3 linked regions of the Coturnix japonica genome follow. The protein of the gene in region 3 interacts with the protein of the main gene of each other region in a biochemical or structural test. Links are inferred from orthologs where the notes say so. Each region holds a gene or a part of one and is shown on either strand. Other genes may lie near its edges.

The links. The genes of interacting proteins can lie anywhere in the genome.
Region 1: the proteins of RAB5A (region 3) and APPL1 form a complex in vitro, tested with the Homo sapiens proteins (2 studies listed by BioGRID and IntAct, with this or other methods). The link is inferred for Coturnix japonica from reciprocal best matches to the Homo sapiens genes RAB5A and APPL1.
Region 2: the proteins of RAB5A (region 3) and RBSN form a complex in vitro, tested with the Homo sapiens proteins (3 studies listed by BioGRID, with this or other methods). The link is inferred for Coturnix japonica from reciprocal best matches to the Homo sapiens genes RAB5A and RBSN.

The regions. Positions count from the first base shown.
Region 1 is NC_029527.1:6,339,808-6,345,715, reverse strand, and holds part of APPL1 (DCC-interacting protein 13-alpha), read right to left. Parts: intron 5,160-5,908; coding exon 5,013-5,159; intron 4,756-5,012; coding exon 4,705-4,755; intron 4,352-4,704; coding exon 4,262-4,351; intron 4,217-4,261; exon of another isoform or gene 3,696-4,216; coding exon 3,546-3,695; 3' UTR 1-3,545. UniProt on the Homo sapiens protein: Multifunctional adapter protein that binds to various membrane receptors, nuclear factors and signaling proteins to regulate many processes, such as cell proliferation, immune response, endosomal trafficking and cell metabolism.
Region 2 is NC_029527.1:17,046,765-17,052,857, reverse strand, and holds part of RBSN (rabenosyn-5), read right to left. Parts: coding exon 6,064-6,093; intron 5,303-6,063; coding exon 5,232-5,302; intron 3,455-5,231; coding exon 3,368-3,454; intron 2,957-3,367; coding exon 2,854-2,956; intron 2,492-2,853; coding exon 2,417-2,491; intron 1,581-2,416; coding exon 444-1,580; 3' UTR 1-443. UniProt on the Homo sapiens protein: Rab4/Rab5 effector protein acting in early endocytic membrane fusion and membrane trafficking of recycling endosomes. Required for endosome fusion either homotypically or with clathrin coated vesicles.
Region 3 is NC_029517.1:32,829,763-32,835,855, forward strand, and holds part of RAB5A (ras-related protein Rab-5A), read left to right. Parts: intron 1-931; coding exon 932-1,083; intron 1,084-2,002; coding exon 2,003-2,125; intron 2,126-3,949; coding exon 3,950-4,043; intron 4,044-6,093. UniProt on the Homo sapiens protein: The small GTPases Rab are key regulators of intracellular membrane trafficking, from the formation of transport vesicles to their fusion with membranes.

The sequences.
Region 1 (5,908 bases), on a different chromosome or scaffold from region 3:
GCAAAAAAGAGCAAAGGAAAGAAAGAAATAAAGCAGTTCTTGCTGTCAGACCGAGTGTCTCAACTGAACTCACTAAGCAGAGTCAGGAGTGTGTCAGTTCTGGACATAACAAGAGACTGCATAACAACACAGCTTTCTCCACTGGCTTCTCCTAAATTCTGTGCGCCTTCTTTAATTCATCAGGCTTCACCTTCAACATATGACCAGCCAATATTTTTCAGCAATGGAAATAAATTATATCTTTATAAAAAGGCTCAGCTGCATGAGGTTTTTCAGCTGTGGTTTCACATCCATATTAAGATGTCACTTGTCTGCATGTTTCTTAACTCTTAAATATTACTTGTCTGTTAAAGTTGTCTTGATATAATTTCCAACTTAAAAATATTAAGGAAATAACAGACCATCAAATCCATGTTTGCTTACACAACACATGTTACCAGGTCTGTGTAAGCTGCATATGACTATTAACTTGTCCTCTGGTTTAGACTTCTACAAATCTATCCATAAATAAGTACTTGGTATTAGTTATAAAGCAATGAAATGCATGCCTGTAGTTTGCCCACGCTTTTTATATATTTTGATATTCACTCTGCTACATTCATAGACAATGTATGTAGAGCAGAACAATGAAGAGCAAGACCTGCATGGCCTACACAGTGTAATAAACTTAATATCCCATTACCCACATAGTTTCTGAAATAATACTGTGTTCACATGAAGCAAATTACAGCTTCAGCTCAGATCAGTCCTTAAGTAAAAGGCAACAGGAAATATTAAACAGGCAAAATAAATCATAAGAAAGGAAACCAACCAGTAATTTATTTAAAACAGGTGGTGAAACCCTACCACAGTCATTGCCAGGAGAACGTGAGGCGTTTATATTAAAAGCTGTACTCTCAAAGTAAATACTAAGTAATTTTTTTAATTAAGAAACATGTTTCCTGATGAAGCAGCTCTACAATTCATAGATCAAAGGATACCAAAAAGATTTTCTGAGGGAAGGAGGACATGGATAAAACCTCAGCAGCTATTCCTTGCCTTATGGTAGTTCTATCCATAGATCCAGGTGCTCCTCCCTTTAAGTGGCACTGAGTAATTCTCATCCCACTGCTAATTCACTGCACTGTTCCATTTTACCATCCTGATCTCCCACAACTTGCCCTTTGCTCCTGCAGCTTTCATCACCTTCCCAGAAGCTTTTCTATCTATCTGCCTCTTTGCTCATTTTAAACCAGCAAGACTCGCCTAAACAAGCAAAACAAAACCTCCTCATTTCATTCATGCATGGCACTTTAAGTTTAAAGTGCTGCTTTCCTCATTCATTTCCCTTCTTTTCAGGGGTTGGGAGAAAAGAATCATTCACTGCAAGTGAAATGCAATTCAATCCTATGCTGTCTGATTAAGAAAACTACATTTAATGGCATAGATGGTAAAACGTGAGCTACAACTGGAGTAATTCCAGTCAGATATTGTTTAATCTGAAAAATTCCATAAGAGCACTGTAGTGCCTCAGATTTTTCTCTTCATTTCCTTCTCATAGTTCTGTGTTTATGTCTAAAACATAATGGGCAGGTTCAAAAAAAGATAACTCGGCTCTCTGCCCTCTCTCCAATAAGGCACCCTGTCAGCAATACCTTTGGATGAGGTTGCTGTCTGTTAGCTGTCCTCCTCTTGGTGCTGTGCCCACTGCAGCTCATCTCACTCTGACAGACGTGGTATAGGTGACCAGATTCTTGGAACTGAGGACCACCGATTTAATATTTTCTTTGCTGTTGCTGAATTAATTTATCTTTGTGTGTACTTGAGGAGGACACAGTAAGTTTGGAGGTTAAAGGTTGGACTGGATGATATTAGTCATCTTTTCAACCTCACTGATTTTATAAATCTGGGCTGTGCTGGCGTGTTGTTTCATAGAAAGTAGAAATCATTACATTAAAAAAAATATCCAAGAGAAGGAAACATAAACTGAAGCAACTTGTAGAGATAAACTGGCTGCCACGCAACTGGATATAGGCAGGAAAAGGAAAGAAAAGCATTTGCTGCCTTTCTGTACGTTTCTGTTGAAAAGAATGAAAGTAGCCTCTTACAGATGAGGTTACAAGACCAGACAGGAAGTAAATGCCACTTAAGTTTTTGTTTTTTGTTGTTTGTTTTTAAAGCCTTAGATGTGTATGGTCCATGTGACACTACAAGGCAACATCTGGTCGCAGGCTGATGCCACATGGCCTGACTGGATAACAGCAAAAGCAGGTACTTCTGCAAGCTACTGGCTGCTCTGAGGATGAACGGGCTGAAACAGAAGGAAGAGAACCTGGAGCCTCTCTCTTGCTCAGTCTCCCACTCCACCTCCTCTTTCAAATACTGTGAGCACTTCCACAGGTGTTAGATCCCTTCTTTATGCTGTGGTGTCAGTGGCACCGTGAGAGCAATGCTCCCTTTTCTCTCCTGTGACAGGAGGCAGATGCAGTTGGTTGCTGCATAGAAATGCCTATCTATCTCCAGCATAAAAAGCAGAAGGAGGTTGCCTTTGTTAGCCTACGCAAAACAACTTCTATGCAATTAAGGACAGTGTTCCTTTTATGCATCTACAGCCATCTAGCACAGAGGTCCTGAAATCCCTCACTTAACCAGCACCATGCAATTCTAGCTATGAAGGGCTGGGCTGAAAGCCAAAGACTAGAAATGTTCTGCAATGAACTGTAAAACACTCTTAACCGTTATAAAACATCTTAGAATATACTCTTCTCTTTCTACATTTTCTGTTATGCTCAGGCCACTATTAGAGAGACATCTGTTCCATTGGAGTTTAGTATTTATAGTAATTAGTGCAAAAATAAATATTTCTTCTTACTTCAAACACGTTTTCTCATCTGGATCAAAAGATGAATGCACATTTAGTATTATACAAAATAAATATTACACAGGGTATGGGCCATGGAGTTCAGGCTTATGAGGTATAAACAGAGACTGCTTTGAAAAATGCATTAGGAGACTGACTATAGGATGCAGAATAGCGCAGTCTTTTATTTCTATCTCCTGTTCAAGGAAACCTTCTGCATTTGAATCCCCCTCACCCCCCAAAAAAAAGACGGTACCACACAGTGCAGATTTTGTTTCATACTGTCTTATCTGGACACTCCCTTTTGTTTCCAGCAAGGTGTTCTACACGCTGCAGTGTAATGAACAAATTGCAGTACTACTCAAGTTCAGTGAGAACTTACGTTTCGTTTCCAAAGCAGTCAATTGCACAGATGGGCAAATGGAAAAAAGAAAAATCCATCTTTTTCCCTTCCTGCAGAGAATTCTTTGAGAAAACCTAATTTTGAGAAAAAGAATGGTGATGCTACCATGTCTATGTGGCATACAAAAGAGAACTGAAACTGACATGAAAGTGGTAATCGCTTAATTGAGAAAGAAACAGCAAGGCATATTAGGGTCTAGACATTGTGAAGTCTTTATATAATACAACAGACCCTCCACCTAGATTTCGCTTCTTGTAGACCTTACTTAGATCCATGATTCCAATTTTAATGAACTAGGCAACCTTAGGTTTCAGATTCCCTTTTCTTCTTTCCATCCTCTCCTAAATCGCTGTCTTCTGACTGGCTGCTGCTGAGGACGACAAACTGTCCTTCTCCACTGCTTGGGTTTGATCTGTTGGAGGCAGCTATCAGTCGGCTTTGCTCCTCTAAGTCCTGATTAGAGAAAGGAGGGAGGAAAGGGAAGGAAATCAGAAAAATAATGCTCAAGTTAAAGCTCCATAAGGTAGAAACAGAATACTACTAATAAGATTTGGACATTTGGGTTTCAAAAGCTGACATCAGTAGGAGAGTTTACATGTTTAACGCCTCTATTAGTGGTAATCCATACAATACAGCAGGTCAGAACTAACAGCTTGGCCTACAGCCTGCTCCCTGCAGGCTCCAATCTCCAATTGAATTGCGTCAGTGCCTGGCTGATGTTTTCTTGCAGCCATGTATGGGACAGTCTGCGATAGGTGTTCCTTCAAGCACTGCTCTTAAATACCCCCTATGAAGAAGTTTTGTTGTTTATCTCCTCAGAAAAGCTCTTTTGAAGAACTAAAATACAAAATTATACAGGACTTGCACAGAAAATACTTCAATAACTTGGTTTCACAATACTCTGTTTGTTTGTTCTAAAGAATGTGATATTGCAGCTGGAACTACAAAGCTACAAAACAAAGTGACTAAATAGGAAAAAAATCAAAACAAAAAATAGTATTAAAAATAACAGAGCATACCTTTTCAATTTGTTTTTGTTTAGTCAGTTCTTTTTGTTGTTTCTCTTTGACTCTCTCCATTTCTTTTTGCTTTTCTGATGCTTTTCGATCCTGAAGGGCAAAAATAACAGTAAAAGAAACAACTGCCCAGTGGGCTTGGTGTGCTGTGGGCTTATCTGAGTTTGTTCAAAACTTCTGGGACACCTGATTTATGCTTCTTTTAATGGACAGGTATGTTTGTTAAAGGTACAGAGTGGATTCCAATCTTGAGCATTGTGCCAGGGTAGATACTGGTGAAGATCTTTTTATCTTGGATTCAAATTCTATAAAACAAATCCTTTTGAGTTCTCCACAACAGCATTACTGCATCTATAAGCATCCTGCAGAATACAGAATATTACAGACTCTAAATATGCCTTCTCCCTTCCATTCACAAGGATACTGTGCCCTAAACAGATTCTTACCAGTTCTGCATGGAAAGCAATCTGTTTTGCCAGTCCAACGGAGTCACAAATCTAAATAGAAATCAAATTTGAAATCGTCTGTAAGAATCTAACAAATGCCTTTAAAAGCATGCCACGTTCCCACATCAGGTACGATAGTGTGCTAAAGCATTTTACAGTTACTTCAGCTATTGGATTAACTTGTTTTCAGTACATAAACTCTCCCATACAAATCCCATAGACAGCCTGAATGGAACTAACACCTTAGAATCCATGTCAGAAAACGACTGGAATCAGAAAATGGATACAAATATAACCATCACCAATACCTTTTCCCCTTCATTATTTGATTCAAAGATATAGCAGATGGAAGTTTGTCGACTGTCAGCTCTCCCTCCTGAAGTTCTAAGCACAAATCCAAAGAGGCGCTTATTCTCCTGATGTGTAGCATACAAGACTACACAGGGCAAAGGAAACTGCCAGAAAGGATCAAATACAGAGAGATTAAAAGTGGTTTCAGACATTCTGTATAGATTTCCACTGTTTGCTTCAATAAAAATGCTTTGTAATCTCAGTTCCCAAAAGAAGGTGGACCAGAAATAATTCTGAAGGCCTCTCCTGCAATTGGAACAAACCAACAGCATGAGAGTTCTTCCTCACCACAGAGGAGCACACGTAGAACACTGCATGTGCACCTGTAAAAGCTCACAGCTTTGGGGCGGTTCTGAACTTAATGCCACAAAGAAGGAAAAGGAAAACACACATGGCGTGATATGAGGAATACTTTGCATGTTCAGTATTTCCTTTTATAGAAATGATGATACCTTTGGGTCCCTGAGAAATAAAGCATCATTATAAGAAGACCCAAATGAAGGAAATGATTATAAACGGTGCAGAGACAAAGGCAGGGGAGGCACAGCTTTGAAATACAGAAAATAAAGACTGCTTTTATTGAAGAATTAAGTTGGCCATATTTGATTCCACATGAAAACCCCACCTGGTTTTGTCGTGCACAACGCTGTCAATGTAATGATGGGAAAACCAAAAACCCAAAACAAACCAAGCAAACAAAAGGCAACAAAAACGTTTTGGACTTCTGAATTCGTTCTAATCTTAATTCTATTCCTCCACCAATTACATCAAGCAGATTGTTACAATAAAATACTGTCATTTTCCTCAAATTTTACCCTATGAAATCAGGGAGGAAAGAAGTGTTTTAAGAAAC
Region 2 (6,093 bases), on a different chromosome or scaffold from region 3:
GTGCCATTAGCAGAAGATGCAGAAATTTTAGAAACACTTTTGTCTTTTCGGTCAAAGCTCCATTTGAAAAGCCAGTAGCTCAGCTGCTGTAACAACACAGTGCAAACAAGGAGGAAAGATGACAAACCAACCATAAAACAAAGTGACAGTTCCCTATTACTGCTTAAGCCTTTTGACCAAATTAAACACACAGTAAGACGAATTAGCATTAAGATGGTTGTAACAACTTATGATAAGTTTTTTTAGTATAAGTGTTCAAGACTAGCAGCGTTCCTCTTCTTTCTTCAAGGCTGAGTAGTGTTGGGAATATATAAATGAAAGCATATAAAATATAACATTCTCCCAATTCCTTCTTGTAATCTGTACTGCTGTTTATAACTGCTCCATCTTCCCATCTCTTAGCAGCGGACTTGAGGTAACTCTTACAAGGTGTGATTGCTGCTTCAACAGTTGGATTTCTCCTTTTGTTTTGCTAAAGTGTACTTCAGTTCCTTTAAGTTCTCCGTCAGTAGTTCCACCTCATCCATTCGTCCGCTATGCTTGGCATCAAATATGTAGGCTTTGATATTATCTATCTGTTGGAGAAGCAGTTCCTCGTCTATAGCCTCCTCTCTTAAGATCTCAGTTACATCTTCCACCTCAAAGGGATTGGTAGAAGATCCTTCTTCAAATGGATTTCCAGAATTCCAATTGTTCCCAGACTTCTGAAATGGATTTTCATCCTCTTCAAAGGGATTTGAAGTACTGACAGATGCTCCACTGGTCTGTTCACCTTCCTCCCCATTTTCAAATGGGTTATATTCTTTTCTGTCACTTTGCAGAGCTGTGTTAGAGAAAGAAACCGGTTGAGACACATCTTCAGCAAATGGGTTAGTGGGATCTTCCTCTGACAGAGGGGTATCTGCTTCATCTTCAAAGGGGTTTAGACAGGTTGCCTGATTTTGGTCTTTGCCACACTGTGGAGTATTCTGGTGTCTAACTGGGACGATTACGTACTCTTTGGCTGGAATCTGCTGAACAGCAGTAGTTTCAGAACTTCGGTTCCCTTTCACTTGAGTAATATCTAAATCCAATCTATGTGCTAACAAGTTCTGATTCTCTTTTGCAGCTTCATACTGATGCTGCTTGCCTTCTCTGAAATCTAAGGAGCCTGTCATTGAATGCTGAGACATGGATTTGTGGTGTTCTCTTTCCCACTCTTTTTCACAAAGGAACTGAAGTTCTTCCCTCTGCTTCTCTTCCTCTTCTGCCTGTTTTTTAGAAAGCTCAATGGCTTTCAGAGTTTGCTGTTGATCATATTCATCCTGAAGTTGCCTCAGGTTTTCTTGCAACATACGGACCTCATCCAGCCTATTAGCTGCCTTTGCTTGCTCAATGAAGGATGTGATGTTGTCAATCTGCTGAAGAAGTGGGTCTGCCACCTCACTCTGTCGAGATATGCTCGATGTAGGCAGCCAGCCTTCAGATTTCCTGACTGCTCCTTTTTTAAGGAGAGTTGCATCACCATTAACTGCACCTGCAGATCTGCATGTCAAGTCTTTCTGCTTCTCCTCTTGTTTTCTGTGTGTTTCAAGAGCTGCCTAAAACAAAAATATATGGAGAACGTGAGCTTGAAAAATTCCATTTTTAACTTTTGTATTCACAGAAAATAGTTGTCTACCTTAGATACTGCTGTCACAAACATCAACTCAGTCTTTAGTTTCTCTGAAAAAACTGTTCATTTTTGTAATACTACCTATTATTTATGAAGACACTTAATGAAATCTATTCACGTCTGCCTGTACAAACTTGAGAGCAAAAGATACCTAAATCCAGCTGTCCAAAGAGATGGCTCAAGCAGATTGGGCAGCAACCATATTACATCCACCTACAGCAGATATTTCTATAACAGGGCATCAGAGTAAATATCAATTATATTATTAGCCTTTGGAATGCAATTATTTATATTTCTTAATTTCTACTTCAACATGAAGCTGGTTTATTTCTGTGTTGGTGATGTCCCGCCTCCCAAGAAAACCCTCTCCTGAAGCTGCATCCATGTCTCCATTTATTTTATCTTTTTTTAAACCACCTGGAGAAGTCTTCAAATTCTACTTGTACAAATGACTTAGTTTAACAGGCACAGAAGCACCCACAAACAAGCCACTGCTGCTTTCTGGATGCATCCAGCTTTCAGTACACATCTCTCTGTTCTGGGAAGAACTACAATGAGTGTTACACAAGTCCCTGAACACAGGCATGGGATGATCTGCAGCGAAAATGAAAAAAGAATCAAGAACTCCAGTCTTAAGGACAGCTGTTCATACACAGGTAGCTACTAACACATCCAGATGAACTATGAATAGTAAATAATTGTGTGTCTGTTTAAGTCCCTGAAGCAGGCCCTCATGCAAATACAGACCTGAACCAGTCTTACCATATGCAGTCTTCTCTTCTTCAGTTCTTCATACTGACTTTTGGTTGGCAGGGACATGAGGCCAAACAGTTTTTCCTGCCAAATATTGAAATAATTACAGTGAATGCTTGCAGGCATTCAGACAAGTTTTCAAGTACTCAAAGGAAACAACAACAAATGCTCCACAGACAAATAGCAGGTATTCCTCCACTGCAGACACTGCTCCACATTGGAACACATCATGGCTGCTGTAACTATACTGCCGGGTAGGGTGGGCCTCTGCCACAGACAAAGCCAAGACTTACAGATGCTGCTCTGACTGTGCTATCCACATTCAGTGACTTCAGAACATCTATAGATGTAAACGTTCTGTCAAAAGAAGTTTTAAGCCAGACATATGGGCAACAAAGAACAGAACACCACAGAAAATTTAGCTCATAATTATATGCTCTATTTACCTGAACAAAAAGAGTAGCTGAGTATCTTATCATTCTCTGAAGCTGCAGTGTTTTAGGATGAGGCTGGGGCTCTTCGTTCAAGCCTAGACTCACAATCTTCTTACTGAATAAAAGTAAACATAAGCTCATCCATTCAACCACAGGGGCCAAGGAAAATACAACAGGAAGAGAAGAAGACAATACGAAATGAACGTTCTCATGTGTTCTTTTAGGTAAGCCACTCTAAATATTACAAGCAGTAATGCTTCATTAAAAAAAAAAACAAAAAAACCTATGCCTCTACTTGTTTCCTCTGTGCATGGTTAGAAAAGGAAATAGAGATTGATGGTGCACAGGAACAGCATCTATTTTTCAACGTTCTCTTTACAATGGAGTAGGCAAGTTGACTGTGTGAATAAACATAGGCCCCAACAGTTGTGGATAAGGTTGAGTTAGTACAAGCTGTAATGGAAGAAGGGAAAAACATAATGCAGTTTATGCATATAGCAAGAGAGAGCACACACACTTCCTTTACCTGAGGGCATCTATAAATTCGTACGCTTTTTGAATCTCCACCCTCAAGTCATTAGCACGTTCAAGACTGTAGGTTGTCTCCCCAGCACTACAAAATAAAGACAACTTTATCGTAAGTCATACTTCCAGTGAATGATACATACAGCACTAAAAGCTATCCCAAGAAGATGTCAACAAATGTAAGGATAAATCATCTATTAGAATGCTTTTATTTCAAGATCACTGTATACAGAAACCATTTCTTGCTGACAGAAGTGGAAAATATCAACCTGTAAACATGAATATTTACAATTACAGGAAAAATTAATTTTAGTATAAGAAGAATCCCACTATCAGTAATACTTAAAATATACACAACCAATGCATCTATTCTGCATTTTTTCCAGAAAACTCCTCACTGATCAAATAAGCAACTATGCCATTAAAACAAGTTGTGTACTTATGTCTGTCGTAAAGCAGAAGTCTACAAGCCCATGTGGGCATAATGTTTAAGATTCTAGCAACTAAGTCCATGTGGAGACACGATGACTAGATTCGCATATTTATTGAAGAAAACAAATTAGTATTTTATATGGAAGCTTCTTCACCATTTTTAAGCTTGCCCTTCCTCTTGTACCTGAAATACACAAAAGCATCTCCAAAGCTACAGAACCTGTAAGATCCTCTATAGGCCTGCCCAGTCACCAATCACATGTTAGTATTTGATTACGTGCCTCTATAAGAATCAAAACAGTGACACAGTTATGCAGTTAGACTAAGTGAAATCTGAATAAAGGAAGGAACCTCTCTATTATCTCAAGAGAAAAATTCAGGAAGTAGGGAAAATAAAACCACTTGCATTTTTTTGTAAGGCTGCAAAGAAATGCTGTTACAGTTCACAAGGAGATCAAACACTGCAAGATGGGGAGGAATGAAAGTGAGTCAGCACAGCAACCACCAATATATACATTTGTACTTACTCTGAAGTTTTCAAGATATTATGAAAAACGTATTTAAAGTAGTAAAAATTCAAATAAAAACTCACAGTAGCCTAATTGACATCTCCCTTGGGGCAATTCCTTCAGATCTGTGTGCTGTACAGCCTCCTTCTTTGCCTTTGGGAATTCCTCAAAATTTATTGATTTCAGCAGTACCGCAAATGCCAGATGTAACTATTTTTTTCAATAGCCAAGTAACGTACTGCTGTTCCTTCCAGCCTTCACTACTCCACAGCGTTTCATATACTGAACACACAGTGCAGGCCTAGATCCCATTTACCCCATATGACAAGTCTTTCAGCAGGTCATTGCAACATCTACATTAAGGCTTATATATAATTACATTAAGTAATACAGGTCTGTAATATAAAATTCTGAGCACACAAATCAAAAGCTGCTTACAACTGGTAAAACTAAAATTTCTTTAATTCTAAAAATAAAAGTATAATCCTAGAACTTTTTAAAAACAGATTTTGGCAAGAAATATTAATTCAGGCATCCAATTCATGCACCAAAATGTTGTGGTTAATACTAAATCATAAGGTAAGTTATCCCAGGGATGACACTCATCAGATTTAAGACTTGTAATCTAGTTTGTGAATTAACTTGAGCTTTTTGGATGTGGTGTTGAGGAATATGATTTAGCCAGGAAGTATTGGTAATGGTTGAATAGATGATCTTCTAGGTCTTTTCCAACCCTGATAATTCTGTAATTCTGTGAGCTCTGGATAGTTATTTATCTAGATTAAAATAAAGAAAAGCCTAACACTTTTTCCATGACCCACCAACACCCATAGCCTTACCGCACCAATTCTTTACCTACTTTGCAGACTTACAGGGGAAGAAATATACATACATTCATGAACAAAATCAGTAAGTGAAACTTACTTCAGAGATTCTGCCATTCTTACATATTCAGGTGCCTTCTGGTCAACCTTCTCCATGCAGAGTCGGAGTTTCTTAATTAACAATGCACATAAAAGCAGAACTTGTATTAGAACATTAGTAGAAGCACCTACTGACATAAACCTTTCAATGTGACTGTGCACATTCAAAGCTAATAGCTATGAAAGCCATCGAACTGCTCAGGATCACAAGGTCCCCCAGCTGTCCTGAGAACACAGATCAACAACAGAGAAAGAATCTCTACACCCCTGCAAGGTAAACTTTGAGTTCAGAAACTATTTCGATGGGCAACTTCTAGTCATACTCTCTTCACAGAAAAGCATCAACAGAAATCCCCATTATTATTAAAGTTGGGGCTGGGAGAGGGAATTCCTTATCAGGAAGATACCCAACGAATATCAGTACATGCTATTAAAGCATATTTGAACAAAGAATTCTGGCCACACACTGTTGTTCAATTTAGATGGCTGCCACCAGTGAGGGAACAAACAGTTCTTACAACTTAGTTCTATAGTTCTAGCAGAGCCCACCATTAGCACAAGCACATCACTGGTTTAAAAAGAACTGTTCTGACAAATCCCAGCTGACATTACGCACAATTTTTAAGGGACATTTCAAAATCACTAGTTCCAGATGAGAACAAAACTGTACATTAAAATAAGGTCTTAAGCTACCATGGGATGTAAATAACATAAGGCCTCTGAATGTTTACTTTCAGATTCATCTTTGTATTTATCTTTCGTATTTATCTTTTTATTAGAATATTAAGCCATAAAGAACTTGGACATGAGAACAACTTCCTTGCTTGATTTACCTCATAGAGTTTCACAATCTCTGGAGTGTA
Region 3 (6,093 bases):
GGATAAGCACCCAAGGTGTGTGTGAGTTACTGGTCAGTACCACTAAAGGCATTTGATTTAAACTGACTGTTGTCTGTGAACTGTGTTGTTGAGAGTCCTAATTTCTTTCTCTTCCTAGTAGGGGGCTTGTTTTCAGCATGTTGTTGAGATTTTTAGCATAATTTTGAAATATGGTTTTTAAAGAGACACTTCTGTGTTTCTAGTATGTAACCTTAAACTGAATGGAAAGCATTTTCTAGGAGTTACTGTTTGAAGTCTTGCTATTAACTACTTACTGTTTTTCTGTAATTATAAGGTAACTCAGGGTAATAACAGATGTAGGTTTTAGATATGCAGATTAACATGTTAAGCTGTAGTGGCAGAAAATACAAGTTGCCCTGAAACTGCAGGTAGTGGAAATCATGCCTTGAAACAATTCTTGAGTTGACTTGCAAGGGAAAAAACACAACTATATGACTGCTTTATGAGCAAGAAAATTTCAGAATTTATTTGTACTTCTGTAATCTTTAACCAAGGTGGGATGTCAGGAGCTGGAAATCTTAGCTATAATATACTGTTCAAATAACGTAGATTTAGTCCAGAATTGTACATGTCAGAGCTATTGGATTGTAGCATGAAGAAATACTGTTTGTTGCATCAAGGTGAGGTGCATCTAGAAGATAAGAGAGAAATCTTGTGGTTGCTGAAATGAACTGTTAGAAAAGAATAATGGGAGTTTTTCCTGAATTTTGTTTCCATGTGTCTTTAATGTGAGGAAAGTTTGCATGTTGAATTCTTCTATGTCAATCAATTACAATCTAAAATCTTCAGACCTTCTGTATTTTAATAATAGGCTTCAGTTGTCAAGGAAATCATGCTTGATTCATCTTTTGTGAACATAATTTGATACGAGCAGACTTCTGGTTTCAACCCTTCTGTCTTTTTTTTTTAGCTGCTTTTCTAACCCAAACTGTGTGTCTTGATGATACAACGGTAAAATTTGAAATATGGGATACAGCTGGGCAAGAGCGGTATCACAGTTTAGCACCTATGTACTACAGAGGAGCACAAGCAGCTATAGTTGTATACGACATTACAAATGAGGTAAGTACAATGGGAGAGGGAGTTATGGGGATTCTTTGTGGTCTCGTATCTGCCATTTTTATATATAACTGTCTCATGTGTATCTGTATCAATTCATCTCTTAATGTTGGGCTGTGTGATATTAATTTGTGCCTGGAATCTTTTCTTACCAAGAGACCCGTTATTGTGTTCTTTATATTAAAAAGTATTCAAACAAACTAGAGAAAGCAAATGCCTTTGCAGAGTTTTTTTCCAAGCCCACATTTATATCAGTTCATCTGAATTGTTACTCACCAGGCTACTGGTGACAAATAATTTCTAGTGGTGAAAGATGTTGCGTTCATATGTTACTGTTGCAAAATAAAAGGCAGGTATTAAAGGCAGCATAATCTACTGATGCTATAACATTGTTTGATTTCATTTTGTTTGAGCTGGCATCAGACAAGCTTTGTATTAAACAAGGTTTAATATAATAAATATAATATAAATAATAATATATAATTATTGAAATAATAATATATAAACAAGGTTTAGGTCAAAATGAAACTTAAAATACGAAACCTCCAAAAAACCCAGCATACCTCAACTGTAACGGTGGTCACTAATTAGAAATGTTGAAAATTGTTGAGTTTATGAATAAACTTGATTCTTCTGGAGGAGAAAATGAATTTCCAATTTTCTCTCAACTGTTTCTCTACTTAGTCTTCATAAATCTTTATATCTTCATTTATTTTCTCGGCATTGTCATGACTAAGAACGTCTGAAAATTAGGGTAGGAATGTATCATATAAAAAAACTCTTGAGTGTATCTTTGGACAAAAGTAGCAGCCTTGCTTTAATTGACATTTTGCTTGAAGTATAGATAACAGAGACTGGGATAATTGGTGAGTGCAAAAGGATGGTAAAGACTCAACTTGCATCATTTTGCAATCATTAACAGGAGTCCTTTGCCAGAGCGAAAAATTGGGTCAAAGAACTTCAGCGTCAAGCAAGTCCTAACATTGTAATAGCTTTAGCAGGAAACAAAACTGATCTAGCTAACAAAAGAGCTGTGGATTTCCAGGTATGTACATAACTTCTGTTTAATAGAAATAGTTTGTTTTTTTGGAGGAGGAGGAGGAGCAGGTAAATAGGCCTACTGAGGAGCTTACATGCATAGACCAGGTGGTTGTCAAGGAGGTCATGCTGTTAAATATAAACCTCAAGTGAGAGTAATTCTAGGTGCTGCTGAAAAATGTTTTTGTACAAATGATATATGGCAATAGACTTGTTTTGAATAAGGAATTAAGTATGAGGAATAACTAATTTATTTGCATATCTTCAAGGCTAATTGAATTCCTGTTCTATGATCTGATCTCTTCCTGTCTTCCACTCAAAATTATCTGTAATTACAGTGTTAGTGGAAGCGATAGAATGATCTGCACTGAATTTGTTCCTAAGCTCTCTGACGTGTCCAGAGGGAAATTTTGAGAATCTTATGATACAAAGTTGATTGATAGACTTAGCTTGCCTAGGGTATACTGTTGAAGCAGTGTTCAGCTTTTAATTCTCCTTTTCATGGCATTATTTTTGTTTATGTTGATACACATGTGCTCTTCGGTTACATTTGTCTTCTTGAAAACACTGATTAAACTTAGTTATCAGAAAATGACTTCCAAAACAAATGAAATTCACTACAGATGTTCTCATCCATGCAGCACTGATTGATCTTAAGAAAACTGATTCATATAGGTATTTATTCATTAGTAATTAATTATGTTTCTGTTTTCATCTATGTCATTGTGTTAGTTACTGCTGTGTATGGTAATGAATCCTTTTATAACTTTAGAAGTCAGTCTGTGAAGATTAGGAGCTTTAGGTACTTTTCAACCTAAATTCAACATTGTCAAAAAATTTTATTCTTTCATGTCAGTTGCAACATAAAAACTACCACAGAAAAAGCAGGCATTCTGTGGAAAACTTGTGGTTTGTGACAGATCCTGTGTATCTGTATAGATAAAAAACTTAATCAAATTTTAAATATCTACACTTTTTTTTTTTTCCGTTAGTTTTGTTTCTTACAGTTATGTACTCAGCATTTTTTTGTTGTTATCTTCTCTTTTTTGCAAACAACTATCAAACCTATTTGAGATTAAGTACTGATTAATGTGTTATTTCTGTTGTGGTTACATAGGTTTTAGCACATGTTACTTAAATGAATATTGAGCTAGACTGCAGTTTTTCTTTGTTTCATCATAGGTATAGTTTGGCTTTATGCAGATTTCTGTTGGATTCAAAGACAGTTTCATAATCTGAAGATACCAGGGATTTGTAGCTGAACTGGCTAACAGGAGGTGGCAAAAATAGGGAACAGAAGTATTTCAGATGTGTATTTCAGATAGAAATTCACACTGGTAAAGGAGATCATATGACAAGACATTAGATTTTCCTAATTAGTTTTATTATCCTGACAAAAATCCTCTATTCTAAAACTTCTGATCAATCTGCCTTAGTGGATGAAAGATTGAGTAAGGATGAAAGGTAGTTCTTCATAGAAGTGATAATGGAGCTTTTTGGCATTTGAAGGCACTTTCTGTTGCTTATTCTTGCTATTACAGCTAGAGTCTTGTGGTAGGATTGTCCTTCTAATATTTACTATTTAGTTTTGTATTAGGTTTGATCTGGAATATTACTTTAAGACAAATAAGGGTTTCAGGATTGCATTTCTTTTACCTGATGGAGTTACAACTTCCCCATAGCTAACGAGTAACACACAGTCATGAGTGTTTCAGCAAACCTTTTTTGAAAATGGAGTAGAAATTCTTCATTAGTAGTAGTAAGAGTATGGTTTGTAATAAAGTGATGCTTTGACTTTTTAAGAATGGACTAATGCAGTATTTTCTTTCAGGAAGCACAAGCTTATGCAGATGACAACAGCTTGTTGTTCATGGAGACGTCGGCCAAGACAGCTATGAATGTGAATGAAATCTTCATGGCAATTGGTGAGTTGATGAGGGGAGATGGGGGGGAGTTAGAAAATCGAATGTAATTGTTTTCTTGAGATTCATGTAATCAGAAGCATCCTAACTAACTAACAAGCTCTTCCAGATTTTCCCATAAATCTTTTTTCTTTCTGTGGCACTGATGTTTCCTTAGGCCCCTTAGACTCTTCTATGATGTTGTGATAAACTTATTTGAAGCATATTTGCACAGGCCTTCTGTCAAGCATTTAAAGCTTGGATTAATTTGTAGTAGCTGAATGAGCTTAGATTAATTAAAATTCTGTCAGCAAGTTTCATGTAACTGCCTTTTTGTTGTGGTCAGTGATACTACTTCAGGTTGAAGCAAAATTAAGCTGTAGTTGCTGTTCTGTATTTAAAAACAAATCAAAAGAAAACCTTCCCATGGCATAGCTTACCATTAAAAGTTTTGCATAGTTTTACATTACTTCAACAAGTCCAAAATATATTTTATGGTTATCACGTTAATATAGAATATAAATAAAAATGTATAAATTAGTGTCTCTTCACATTATGCTTTTTGCAACAGATCTCATACTGCCTTGAGTAGGTACAAAAGTCATAATATTGTACTTATAATACAATTATAATTGAAGCTGGAAACATCAAAATAGGAGATGACAGTGACTTGCTTTAAAGATATCAGGAGTATTCATTTTAGACTAATCAGCGTATTTGCTAAATACTGTTTTATAATTAAAAACTCTTTGAATTCCAAGTGCAGCAATGTAAGATGCAAAGGGTATGCCAAGAATGAGTATGTGTGTGTTTAAATTCAAAGTCTGAGTACAGGTGAAGGGTACTTTGTGTGAAAAGTGAATTTACTAATGGATTTTTAGAGCTGACACTCCTTAGGAATTTCTTTAAAGTTGACTACACATAAAGAAAGTTGAAACTGCTAACAGTCTTGTTAGTTATCTTTCCTTGATGGATTTAACATATCTCATTATTAAAAAGAAAAAAAGGAGAAAGAAAGTGGGCTCTTCTAGGTGGGTTACTTGCCCTATTTAATAACCTTAATTAGAGTAGTCACACTGTTACTAGGAGGAAACAGTATAGTGTCAAATATCTGTATTAATCTGTTTCTTGTGTTGCACTATGATGACCTCTTTTGCTTTCAAAATAAATTCTTTTTAAAGAGCCCTTACCTTTTTCTTTGCAAACCAGTTAAGTAGAAGGTAACCTAATGCAGTTCAGACTTCCAGCAAATGCATATTAAATTATGGCTATAGCAACATTTTACAGCAAATACTCTCCTTATATTAACTGTAATCATGCGGGTTAGGGGGGTTACAGAATTCTAAGTAGAAAATGTATTTTTGTCATAAATGCTGGAGGTAGCACTGCATTTAACGATACAGAAATGCTCAGTTATAATCCTCTTTGCGTGACTGCTGTGCAGCTTCAAAAATATTTCTTTTAATGTCATGATGCAAACTGCATCTTTAAAAGTTATGTGCAAAATGAGTCTTGAAACTCTGTTGGGATTTTGGTAAATTATTACATAAAGAGAAATTCTTACCTGTCCCTACTTTTAATGAAGTATACGCAATAAACATGACAAAAAGTATGTACTTAGTACCTGGATATTTAGTCTGCAAGGTTCTTAGTCTGTGTGAGTTATTCTTTGGGTGAAATGGGTGACATTCAAACTTAGCATTGCATCAGAACAAGATCTGTGCAGCACTGAGCTTAGAATAGCCTTTTGCACAACATGGGTTCATTTCTGTGGAACCATATGTAAGTGTGATCTTCCAAAAATGTGAGAATAGTCAAAAATGAGAACATGGAAAAGAGTGGATGCAAGCTACAACTGCTTGTGAATTAACTGCCTTAGAGCTTGTTCAAGGCTTCTGGTTACTGGAAAAACAATAAATAAATAAAAAAAAAATATTCATTTCCGATATCAGTAATCTCAAGCAACAGTGCTTTGAAGATGGTTTGCTGACTCTGTGTCTCTTCATGCCGTCTTTGCAGCATAATGTCATGAGAACTCTTGGGTTCTGTTAACCGAGTTAATTATTTTCACGTG